Linked DNA regions of Sus scrofa. The protein of the gene in region 1 interacts with the protein of each later gene in a pairwise test. Links are inferred from orthologs where the notes say so. Each region holds a gene or a part of one and is shown on either strand. Other genes may lie near its edges.

Region 1 (3,606 bases):
GTCACGTGCCTCAGTGTCCCCAGTGGTGACTGGAGGGTGTGCCAGCTTCCTGTTGCTGCTGTAACAGACGACCACAGACCAAGAGGCTTAAACAGTGCAGTTTACCACCCGACCGTTGTGGAGGTCACACGTCCACCAGGGGCCTCACCGGGCTAAAATGAAGGGGTGGGGAAGGAGGGCTGGTCCTGGGGTGGGGGGCGGGGAGGGAGGAAGCCGCGTTCCCTGCCGTTTCCAGCGTCCAGAGGCGCCTGCCCTCCTTGGGGGGGGGGGGGCTCCTCCATCCTGGCCATCCCTTCTGACTCCGCCCTTCTCTCCTGCCGTCGAGGACCCTGCGGTGACACTGAGCCGCCCAGGTCCTGCAGGACAGTCTCCCCTTCTCAGGGCCCTGCCGAGTCCCCTTGGCTGTATTCAGGCACAACTTCTGGGGCTTGCGATGTCAGTGACCGTGGGGCGCTGTTCTGCTCCCGCACAGGCGTTGGAGGCTTGTTTCGAGGATTCACGTGTTGGATGAGACAGTGGGCCACATCCTCAGAAACCCCCAGCACAGGGCCCCGCCCACAGTGGTCCCCATCAGAGGGAGAACGTGTTACCCACCGCTCCTCTTCCCATCCCCCACGCCTGCAGACGCTCCAGGGGACCTAGATGCCGTGCCACACTGGGCCGTGTGGGCACGTGCTCCCGGTGTGGTGAAAACCGCTCTCAAGCACAGAGCGGGGGGGGGGAGGCCCCCCGCAGCTTTGCAGGCTCTGGGGTCAGGTTCCTGTTGGGCCAGTTGCTTCACTTCTCTAAGCCACCTCTGAATGCCCCCTGGAGTGGGACACCTGGCCCTCCCTGGCGGGGCCGCCTAGGCTCCAACACAGTGACCCCCGCACGTGCACACACACCCCCCCGCCCCCGCCTGCCTTCTGACTCCCGCCCTCCTGCGCAGGTGTGGCCGGCGGCCTGACCAACCTCTCCAAGATGCCCGCCTGCAACATCATGCTGCTCGGCGCCCAGCGCAAGACGCTGTCCGGCTTCTCGTCCACCTCGGTGCTGCCACACACCGGCTACATCTACCACAGCGACATCGTGCAGTCCCTGCCCCCGGTGAGCCCCCAGCCCCACCGCACCTGCCATGCCCCACAGGGCAGCTCCCCAGGGCCCGCGGCTCCCCTGTGACCCCGGTGCATGGAACCCTAGAGGATGCCCCACATGGGTTAAGGATGCCACAGCTGATGCGCCAGTTTGGGATGCTGGCCGCGCCACTTCGCAGCTGGGCCAGAGGCCTGAGTGCTGAGCCTTGGCCTCCCTGTCTGGAAGCTGGGGGAGTGAACCTGCTTCAGGGGCCGCGACGTGGACTCAGTCATACGAGAAACACTCTGAGGGCAGGCCTCACACATCAAAAGTGATGGAAGCGTGAGATCGGGGTTCCCAAGGCCATGGTCAGGTTCAGTGACCCCCAGAAGGGCTTGCAGAGCTCACCTCGAGCTGATCCAGGTTCATCACGTCGTGGGAACCCAGACGAACACCAGCCAGGGAGAAGCGTGAGGGCAGGGTCTGGAAGCACCAAACAGGCACCACATGAGACAGGACACAGTCGCCACCAGGACGCCCAGCGGGGCCTCAGGCCTCCGTCTCTACCTGGCTCAGGCAGAGATGGGGTTGCCTGGTGAGAGACCCCACCCTGAAACACAGGGCTGCACGCTAGCTTAGCCAGGGCCCCCACCAGGACGCCCAGGAGCCAGGGCCAAGGCCAGGCCTCTTCGGGCAGGGTTCAGTTCTCCGCTGCGCTGGCTAACTGGGTTCAGTTCTCCTATCGTTGCTAACTGGGACTTGGGGGCTCATGTATCATCTTGGTATTTCTCAGAGCTCCAGCCCCTGCCTTTCAGGTACACTGATGGATTTTTTAAAAATATTTTAAAATACATTTTGGCTGCTCCTGCAGCATGCTGAAGTTCCTGGGCCAGGGATCAAACCCATGCCACAGCAGCTGCCCCAGGATTCTTAACCCACTGCACCACAGCGGCTACACTGGGTCCTGAACCCACTGCACCACAAGGCAACTCTTATTTGATTTTATTCATTTATTTATTTTAATTGTAACATGTTTTCTCAGTATTTCATCGTCTTGCCTCTGTGTTAATGCATCTCTGTTGTCTGGGGAGATGGGAAGGTGGGTGAGAGGAGACACCGACCGCAACATTTTGCTATTGTTACACGTTATTCCAGTAACGACAGCAGTGAAGACAAAAGCTGGTGTGGGAAACGGAGCCCATGGCGGCAGGAGTTCTGGAAACGGCTGTGATCTGATTGTATCTTCACGCTGACTCTGCCTCTCTGTCGTTGCTCCAGGATCTCCGGCGGAAAGCGGCCCGGCTGGTGGCCGCCAAGTGCACGCTGGCAGCGCGCGTGGACAGTTTCCACGAGAGTACGGAGGGGAAGGTGAGGGGCAGCCGGCATCTGTCTGCATGTCTGCGGTCTGGTGGGGGTGGGGGGAGCTGTGATCAGAGGACCCCCACCCCCACCCCGTCTGCGCTGTCCTGACGGTGGAGGTGGGAGTGTTTGTGCCCCCCCACCCCCAGGTCCACTTCCCCTGCCCCTGCTGTACCAGTTTCCCGTCACTGCTCAGCCTAGTGGCCTAAAGCGTTGCAGGGCTACTGACTTAAAGTTCCCTGGGTCCGGAGCCCGTGGTGGTTCACTGGGCCGAGGTCACGGTGTCGGCAGAATTGTGTCCTCGGAGGGTCGCTCCGCCGCCTTTTCCAGCTTCCACAGGCCACCTGCGCCCCTCGGCTCGTGGCACTTGCCTCCCTCTCCGAAGCCAGTGCGGCACCTTCCCGCCTCTGCCTGACTCTGCATCTGTCTTCACGCCTCCGACTCCTTTGAGGTCCCAGGGATTACACTGGGCCCCTGGGATCCCCCAGGATCGGACCATCTAGGGCACCTCCCCATTTCAGGATCCTTAACTTAATCACATGGCCGCTCATAAAATCAAATAAGAGTTCCCTTGTGGTGCAGTGGGTTAAGGATCCTGGGGTGGCTGCTGTGGCTGGGGTTTGATCCCTGGCCCGGGCGAGGTGACGGTTCATAAGGACCAGAGAGTGGCTCACAGACACCTTTGGGGGTGGGGGAGGCTTGCTTGGCCTACGACATGGGGGTCCGTGCCCTCCACCAGCACTGTCACCCTTCAGTACCCATTCCAGCAACCTCGCCTCCTTGGCACACTTGTTCTGCGAGGGTAGGTGTTTCTGTCTTGTGCACCTTCGTCTCCCAGGCTCCCGGCCTGGCACAGCGTTGAGGGATCTGGTCTCGCTCTCTCTGACCCCCGGTCTGGATGCCGGGGTCCAGCAGTGCACCCGCAGACAGAAGCCCTGCCCCGCGACGTTTCCATTCCCGTTGGAGGCGGGGCAAGGAGACGCAGGCCGATCTGCTGTGTGTCCAGTGGTGCTGAGCAGAGGCTGGGGAGGTTGGACTGACTAACCACATGTCAGGGAGGGCTTCTCCAAGGAGGTGAGGGTTTAGCCTAGACCTGAGTGCCATCAGCCGGGAGTCCCGTGGAGCCTGGGGGAAGGGTGTCTCAAGCGGAGGGAACGGTCAGGCCCAGGCTCTGGGGCTGGAGCACGGTGGGCC
Region 2 (3,732 bases), on another chromosome or scaffold:
AATTATTCCTAAATTAAGTTTAACTAGTTCAAGAAATACTGGACATAGAGCATACCTGGCCACAGCCAACAATATTTACTTTCAAGGTTTTTACACTAAAGCATACACTCTTTTATCTAGCAATTCCATTTTTAGGAATTTTTACTGATATACAGATATAAACAAAGATTGTGTTAGGCAATTTAGAACAGCACTGTTTATAACAGTTACAAGTTGGAAACAGCTTAAATGTCCACACAGTACTGGTTAAATAAACTATGGTTGGCAGTTCCCATCATGGTGCAGTGGCAAGGAGCCCGACTAGGATCCATGAGGATGCGGGTTTGATCCCTGCCCTCGCTCAGTGGGTTAAGGATTGCTCCACTGTGAGCTGTGGTGGAGGTTGCAGATGCAACTTGGATCTGGCTTTGCTGTGGCTGTGCTGTAGGCTGGCAGCTACAGCTCCAATTGGACCCCTGGCCTGGGAACCTCCATATGTCGCAGGTGCAGCCCTAGAGAAGACCAAAAAAAAAAAAAAAAAAAAAAGACAAACATAAACTATAGTTATATCCACACTATTGAATATCACACAGCCATTACAAAGAATTGAGCAACTTTATACCTACTTCTAAAAATCAATTTTCAAGCTATGTTGTTAAATTTTTTTAAAAAAAAGGAAAGTCCAGAAAAATGTTTAAGATATTTTACCATAAGAAGAAGTAGGCACATACACGTTAAGTGGGTATATTCATAGTATATATAGGGAATAACACAAAAGGAATAAGCGAGGGGAGATATAAACTTTTCAGCACACTTAATTTAGGTTTTGATATCTTTTGAATTTTATACTAATTCATCGTTACTAATTATAAAAAATAATTCAATATAAAAAAGGTGTTTTGTAGTATAACAGAATAGGTGTAGCTTAGACATGAGACAGAACCTAATTTATTTTGTTTTTGTTTTTGGCTGGGCCCACAGCATGCCAAAGTTCCTGGGCCAGGGATGGAACACTTGCCACAGCTGTAACCAGAGCCACAGCAGTCACAATGCCAGATCCTTAACCTGCTGAGCCACAAGAGAATCCCAGAACCTAATTTTAATCCTAGCACCCCTACTTATCTACCTTAACCGAAGCCTTTGAGCCTGCTTGTTCATCTGTCAAATAGGGATCATGTATCTGAAAACACCCAGTAAATAGCAAGTGCTTAAAATAAAAAATTATCAGAAAGGAAATAACCAGGATGAACCTCAAAATGAACCAATATTGAGGTTCATTTTGAACCTCATTGAACTCACTGAAGTTCCTGTTGTGGCTCAGTGGTAACAAACCCAACTAGTATCCATGAGGACTCGAGTTTCACCCTGGCCTCGCTCAGTGGGTTAAGAATCCAGCGTTGCTATGAGCTGTGGTGTAGGTCTCAGACTGGCTTGGATCTGGTGTGGCTGTGGCATAGGCTGACAGCTGCAGCTCCAATTTGGCCCCTAGCATGGGAACTTCCATATGCCACAGGTACAGCCCTAAAAAGCAAACACAAAAAAAGAACCAATGTTTAGAAGAGCTGCCTACTCCATGTCAAGTACTGCACCTGACAACTTGGTTTTCAGAATATTCCTGTGATATGAGAACTCTTGAGGTTAATGTTCCTATGAAGTCAATAAGATATGCAATCTTACTTGACAGATGAGAAAACTAAATTCCACGCTAAGGAGTTTCCTGATCTCCTAGCAATTAAGGATTTGGTGTTGTCACTGCTGTGGCTCATGTTTGATTCCTGGCCTAGGAACTTCCGAGAGCTGCGGGTGCAGGAAAGAAAGAAAGGAGGAAAGAAGGAAGTCCGGGAGAAAGGGAGGGTGGGAGGAAGGAAGAAAGAAATCCCTTGCTTTGAGTGTAAAACATGAAAGAAAATGAAAGGATTCCTAAAGAATAAAGAGGCACTACAAGGATTCCAGAAAAGTAAAGCCCACCTGAGGAGATGGCAGTGGAAGTCGGGAAAAGACTACGGTCAGAGTAGTGGCTTCCGTGGACACTGTCACAGCTGCCTCATCTGGGAAGAGTCAGAGGAGGAGGCAGAAGCCAGTATGTTAGTGCCAAACGGATAAGGCTGCAGCTGCTGGACGGGCTGTGAAGATAACACGTTCCCTCTCCACCCTTGCCGGCTTAGACGTCTCAAAACACCTCCAAAAATCAGTGTTTTAAATCTCAACCTCAGAGATGCCGAGAATGGGTAAGATGAGGTATCCCCACAGAGGGGACAGGCCGGGGAAAAGCAGGAAGGAAAGGGACAGGGACAACTGAAGAGATGAGAGATGGCAGTCTCCAACAAGAGAGGCACTCACTGAATCTTCTCCAAAAGGTCTCCCGATTAAACTCCTTGGTAGTCTCCCGGGCTTCGCCGACTAGTGGGTTCGGCGTGTGGGCCGGGCCACCGCAAAAGGAAGAGCAGAGGTAAGCGGCGCTACCTGAGGCCCCCATTTCCTCCGCTCCCGCCGGGCCCTGCCGCCCTCCCCTCCCCCGACTCCCCCATCCCTCGCTCCCTGGTGCCGCCGCCGCCCTGGCCCGGCTTCTCCCTACCCACGCCGGTCCCTGTGGGGGTCCGTCTCCACTGTGTCAGCTCACCCCGCACTCCAGGAAGGAGCAACCGAAGCTCCTCTGCTAGGTGCCGGAGCTGCTCCAAAGGCACAGCCAGGGTGGGGACTGGAGCATCAGGGGGAGCTGCATTCGCCATCCCAGTAGGACTCTGGGAGCCAGCGTACTTAGCTGCCACGGAAGCCGCCTGAGCCGCACAGCAGTAGCCACTCCACTTCCGGGCGTCACGGATGCGGGTTCGCTTCCGGCAACAAGAGAAGCCGCCCGCCCCGCCCCGACGTGACTCCACCCCCGCGCCGGGCCCTGACCACACACGCAAGGCGACGCAGAGTTATTTCTTATTCATTATTCATTTATTTGATTAGTGGCAAACACCTCCGACAGAGGAAGCAGAGAACCCTGTGGGAAAAGAGGACCAGGAACTAATCAAGGGTAGTCAGGGTCAGGCCCAAGTTTGCACTGGTTCCCTGCCCCTCAAGTGGTGGCGCCCTTGTCCCCTGCTGAGTTCCAGACACTGTGCTAGGTACTTTACATGAGGTAACGTTAAAAAAACACTGGGTTCACATACTACCAAACACACCAGCTCCTGCCCTGTGGATCTCCTAGATTAGGGCTCTCTCTTCACAAAAGTAAATCAACCTTCTGCCTTCTTAGGGAAGGAAGGAATCATGGCATTATTTAGAGATTTTTTTCCTGCAGTCCATTATGCAGGAAATCAGTAGTGGGGAATCCCCCCACCTCCCAGGCGGCCAAGAAACAGCAGCTCCCTGAAGCTTGCCTACTAGTATTGGCCTTCCGCCTGTTTCGGGGGGCAGAGGCCTGGGCTAGAGCTGGATGATGAGACATGGCCTTCAGGAACTCAGGTGGCTTTTTAACTGCACTATGAAGGTTCCAAGCTCTGTGGAGTTCAGTGTCCACACACAACGAATGAGAACAGGTGTCACCAGTGTCAGCCAGGTCCGCAAAGGGGAGAATAATAAAGCTAGAGTGCCATATGTCATATGAAGAAAGTAGCAGGAATAAATCTGCCAGATGTACAGCAGTAACATAAGTAGATGAACAGGTATAATTTTCAAGTATTTTCCTTGACGGAGATGAGACCTGAAGTTGTGACCAAAGCACCGCTGCAGCAAACTCCAACACAGGTAAGCCATCAAGGGGAT
Region 3 (3,746 bases), on another chromosome or scaffold:
GAACCCAGGGACTTCATCATGCCTCCTGTTCCTCTTCTAAGACGTGGGAGTGACCTTCCTCCCTGTTGCAATAGAGGAAACATAAGGTGGAAAAAGACACTGGGTACCCAGGAAGAAACAGCTCTAAGGTCTACATAATAATGGTCATGCTGAAGTTAGGCTATCTTTGGGTGTCTTCTTCTTCCAAAACCAGTCTCTACCTGCAATGCAACCTACCTTCAAGTTAAAAAAAATAAAAAATAAAAATAAAAGGCGAGTGAAACATTCCTGACACACAATAAAGCCACAGATGGAAATATTTGAATATAGGGGAAAATGTGAAAATCTTGTCCTTTCTCCTATAAAGACAGGATAAGGTCAAAAAGGAACCAGACTTCCAGGTGGAAGACCTCACTGGAATTGCTGGATCATTTAACTAGACAGTTACCTTGGGCAAAGCCTCTACATCTGTTTTCTACCCTGGAATCCTGGGAAGTGGTGACAATGAAACACTCATCTCAGGGGGCTGCTGGCAGTAGGAAATGGCGTGATTCGTGTGGAAGCATTTTATTCAAATGTGAAGCACATCTGGTGCTCAGTCCAAATGCCTGCCTCTGGTTCTCTCATCCCCTGCACATGTAAATTCCTCTCTCCTCCCTCCTCCTCTCCTTCTCATCCCCAGATGCCTTCCCACCTATCATGGTGGGCTTATCTTCAAACTGGGACTGGTTGTCCTCAGAATTTAACTCCATTTACCAAACTATCCATCACAATTGGGAGAGGCAGGGTATCCACATTTAACCCTTCCAGGGGTGAGGGATGACAATGGGATCGGATCTTTGGTTACTCTGCCCAGCAACGACACTCCTATGGTAGAGTGTTTTCCAGTCCAACCCACCCAGCTTAGTGAGCATGCCCAGAGCTCCTTCTCCAGCAGCCAAAGGATGGGCATCATTTCTGCAGGATTTTGCCACTGAAGAGAGAAAGGCAGGGCTGTAATCAATCATGGGCAGGGACTGAGACGTGGAAAGGACAGAGGGATAGGTGTAAGTAATAAAGAGCCCTCAGAGACTGTGTTACTGGCATACATTAAAATGCCCTCTGGATGCCCACTAAACCGGTGGTGGCTGTGGCTAGTCTACTGGCGCATGCACACCATGTCCCCATACCTCATTCTCCTGCTGGATTTCACACAGTTCTTCACTCATCACAGCTGGCACCCCATCTCCTTACCCTGCACTGGCCGCGCGCGCAAGAAGGCCTCAGGCACGAGGCTTCTGGCAACCTAGGAAACCCCGTGGTTCTGGCGCAGTGCGCAGCAGGGCGGGGAAATGAGGCGGGGCGCCCTGGGCGCTGGGTAGGGCTGGAGATTTGGGGAGTGGGCTTCAAAGAATGTCTTTCTCCCTTCTTTGCCGGGTTGGGGGCGGGGGAAGATGCATTCTGCTGGGCTTTTCTTGGCGCTGTGGCGCAATTACGGTATACGGCGCGCCAGTGTAGCGGTCTGCTCCCTCTCTCACTATACATCCAAGTTGCCGCGCTGGGCTGGAATTTGCAGACTACACTCTTTGCTACACTCCCACAGACCGTGGACCTATGTCTCTCTCTATATATACCGACTTCCTCCGCATTTGCTATGCCTCTCTGCATTTCTCTCCGCCACGCTGCGCGCCCCCCACCACAGTGGGTATAGTAAATGAGGAACTTGTTTCAATCTCTGCTCCCAGTAGCCCACCAAGGCCAATGGATAGACCGCGCCCTATATGGCCCCCACCACTCTGCGCAGCCTGCGCCATCCTTTCTCCGTCCTGAGTGCCGCCCCTTACCTTCCCGCTGAGTGTCCTGAGTCTACCAGTTTCTGCCCCTTTTCCTATCCATTAGCTCGCACTCGGGTAAGGGGGAGGGAACCCTCCACACAGTGGGCCCTCGCCCCTGGGCCAGCTCTGCATTGCGGTGGGAGAGAGGTGCCTGGGCCGGGCAGTTCGGGGAGAGGGGAGCGGGGGCCTGGGATGGCGCCCTCGGATCTTCGCCCCAGCGTGCCCTGCCCCATACTTACCCTGGGGCCGAGAGCGGTCAGCGGGCTTTCTGCTCCGCATCCATTAGCCGGGGGTCTGGCCGCTTCACTTCCGGAGCGTGGGGTCTGGGCGGCGCGGCCCTCCCCAGCTTCCCCAGCGCTGAGCTCCCCTCCCCAGCGCCGCGCCCCGCCCCCGCCCCGCCCGCGCCTCCCCCCACCTCCCGCCGCTGCTGGTAACTGGCAGCCTCTCGGTTCTTGCTGCCGCAGCGGCCACCCTCCCAACCCCAACTTTGCCGCTCGCGGGAGCTCGCGAGGCTGCGGGGGGCGTGGGCAGGGAGGGGAGAAAGCGGGGTCAGGGGGAGGGACCGGGAGGGGTGGGTCGCTCGCTCGCCAGCCCTCGTTCCTTTCTGTACACCTTGCGGTAGGCAGAGAGCAGCAGCCGAGGCAGCAGCCGGGGGGGATTTTTGCACAGAGACAGGCAGACTTAGGGACCCGCTGAGGAAAGAACGGACAGAGAGGACACTCCCCAAGCCCCCAAGCCATGGCAGAGAGGAAGCAATCCGGGAAGGCGGCAGAGGACGAAGAGGTCCCTGCCTTTTTTAAAAACCTGGGCTCCGGTAGCCCCAAGCCTCGACAGAAATTCTGTGGCATGTTCTGCCCGGTGGAAGGGTCCTCGGAGAACAAGACCATCGACTTCGACTCGCTGTCGGTGGGCCGGGGCTCGGGGCAGGTGGTGGCTCAGCAGCGGGACGTCGCCCACTTGGGCCCGGACCCGCAGCCGCCGTACTCCCGGCAGGGTCGGCGCGCCGGCGGGGAGCCATCTGTTGAATCGGGCCGGAAGGTGGAGATCCGGCGGGCCTCCGGTAAGGAAGCCCTGCAGAACATCAACGACCAGGTTGGTATGGAGGAGGGGCGGAGGTGTTCGAGACAGGACGGAGCGTGGGGCTCGCCCCTCCCTCGCGCCCCTTCCAGCTCGGTGAAAAGCCGAGGATCCCAGCGTGCCCACCGTCCTGCCCCACCTCGAATATCGCTTCCCTGCATGTGCACAAGCACCCCACCCTACCCGCCCCTTCTCCGTGCAGGGTTCGGAGAAGCTCGGGCTGGGCGGTGGGCGGCTGTGCGCCCACAAAGGCTCCCCGCGCTTCCCTGGGCCTGGGTGGTGGGGGTAGGGGTAAAGGATGGGCCTATCCCCGGCTGGGGGGTCTCTTGGTTGGAGGGGGAGGGGATGGGCCGAGGTTCCATTCTTCTTAAATCCTCCCGGGCAGCTTCCGATTGCAGCTGTGTCTGGCTGCCCCACCCTTTTTTGATGCAGCTCAGAGCGTGCAGTGGAGGGTTCGCGTGAAGGCCGGCGGGTTCCCCGGGGGTCGGGAGGGGCGGGGGCCTAGACGACAGCTCCCCGCCGCGCCCTGCGTACACTTCCAGCGCATCCCCTCTGTCGTCCTCCGCTCTCGCATCCCGAGCTCGGAGGCCAGGACCATGGTCAGCGCCTCCTCGGACTGCAAGCGAGAATCTATCTCGTCACCCTGACTTCTGTTTGCAGCGAGAGAAGAACCAGGGAGGAGGTGGTGTCACGCGAGGAAACCGCGACCCTCCTAAATAGCCCACGTGGAGAACAGAGTTCCGCTAAGTATCTCAGCAAGGGCTTCCCAGAGCGCTCCCTTCAACCTCCGCCACTATTTGGGAGGGGCTTTGGAGATGGGGACTAAGTGGATTATATTCAACGGGTAAAAAGAAAAGAAAAGGGAAAGCCTCTCAC

What was found.
Region 2: the proteins of PRPF31 (region 1) and CCNDBP1 interact in binary tests that used the Homo sapiens proteins (3 or more experiments, as listed by UniProt). The two-hybrid records come from large-scale screens. The link is inferred for Sus scrofa from reciprocal best matches to the Homo sapiens genes PRPF31 and CCNDBP1.
Region 3: the proteins of PRPF31 (region 1) and PNMA2 interact in binary tests that used the Homo sapiens proteins (3 or more experiments, as listed by UniProt). The two-hybrid records come from large-scale screens. The link is inferred for Sus scrofa from reciprocal best matches to the Homo sapiens genes PRPF31 and PNMA2.

What each region holds. Positions count from the first base shown.
Region 1 is NC_010448.4:55,997,936-56,001,541, reverse strand, and holds part of PRPF31 (U4/U6 small nuclear ribonucleoprotein Prp31), read left to right. Parts: intron 1-928; coding exon 929-1,086; intron 1,087-2,331; coding exon 2,332-2,421; intron 2,422-3,606. UniProt on the Homo sapiens protein: Involved in pre-mRNA splicing as component of the spliceosome. Required for the assembly of the U4/U5/U6 tri-snRNP complex, one of the building blocks of the spliceosome.
Region 2 is NC_010443.5:128,266,690-128,270,421, forward strand, and holds the start of CCNDBP1 (cyclin-D1-binding protein 1), read right to left. Parts: upstream 2,836-3,732; 5' UTR 2,709-2,835; coding exon 2,555-2,708; intron 2,380-2,554; coding exon 2,320-2,379; intron 2,028-2,319; coding exon 1,948-2,027; intron 1-1,947. Other genes in the region: TMEM62 (transmembrane protein 62), read right to left, coding at 3,421-3,732. UniProt on the Homo sapiens protein: May negatively regulate cell cycle progression. May act at least in part via inhibition of the cyclin-D1/CDK4 complex, thereby preventing phosphorylation of RB1 and blocking E2F-dependent transcription.
Region 3 is NC_010456.5:10,426,218-10,429,963, forward strand, and holds the start of PNMA2 (paraneoplastic antigen Ma2), read right to left. Parts: upstream 2,173-3,746; 5' UTR 2,033-2,172; intron 1,298-2,032; exon of another isoform or gene 1,149-1,297; intron 63-1,148; exon of another isoform or gene 1-62. Other genes in the region: DPYSL2 (dihydropyrimidinase-related protein 2), read left to right, coding at 2,532-2,885.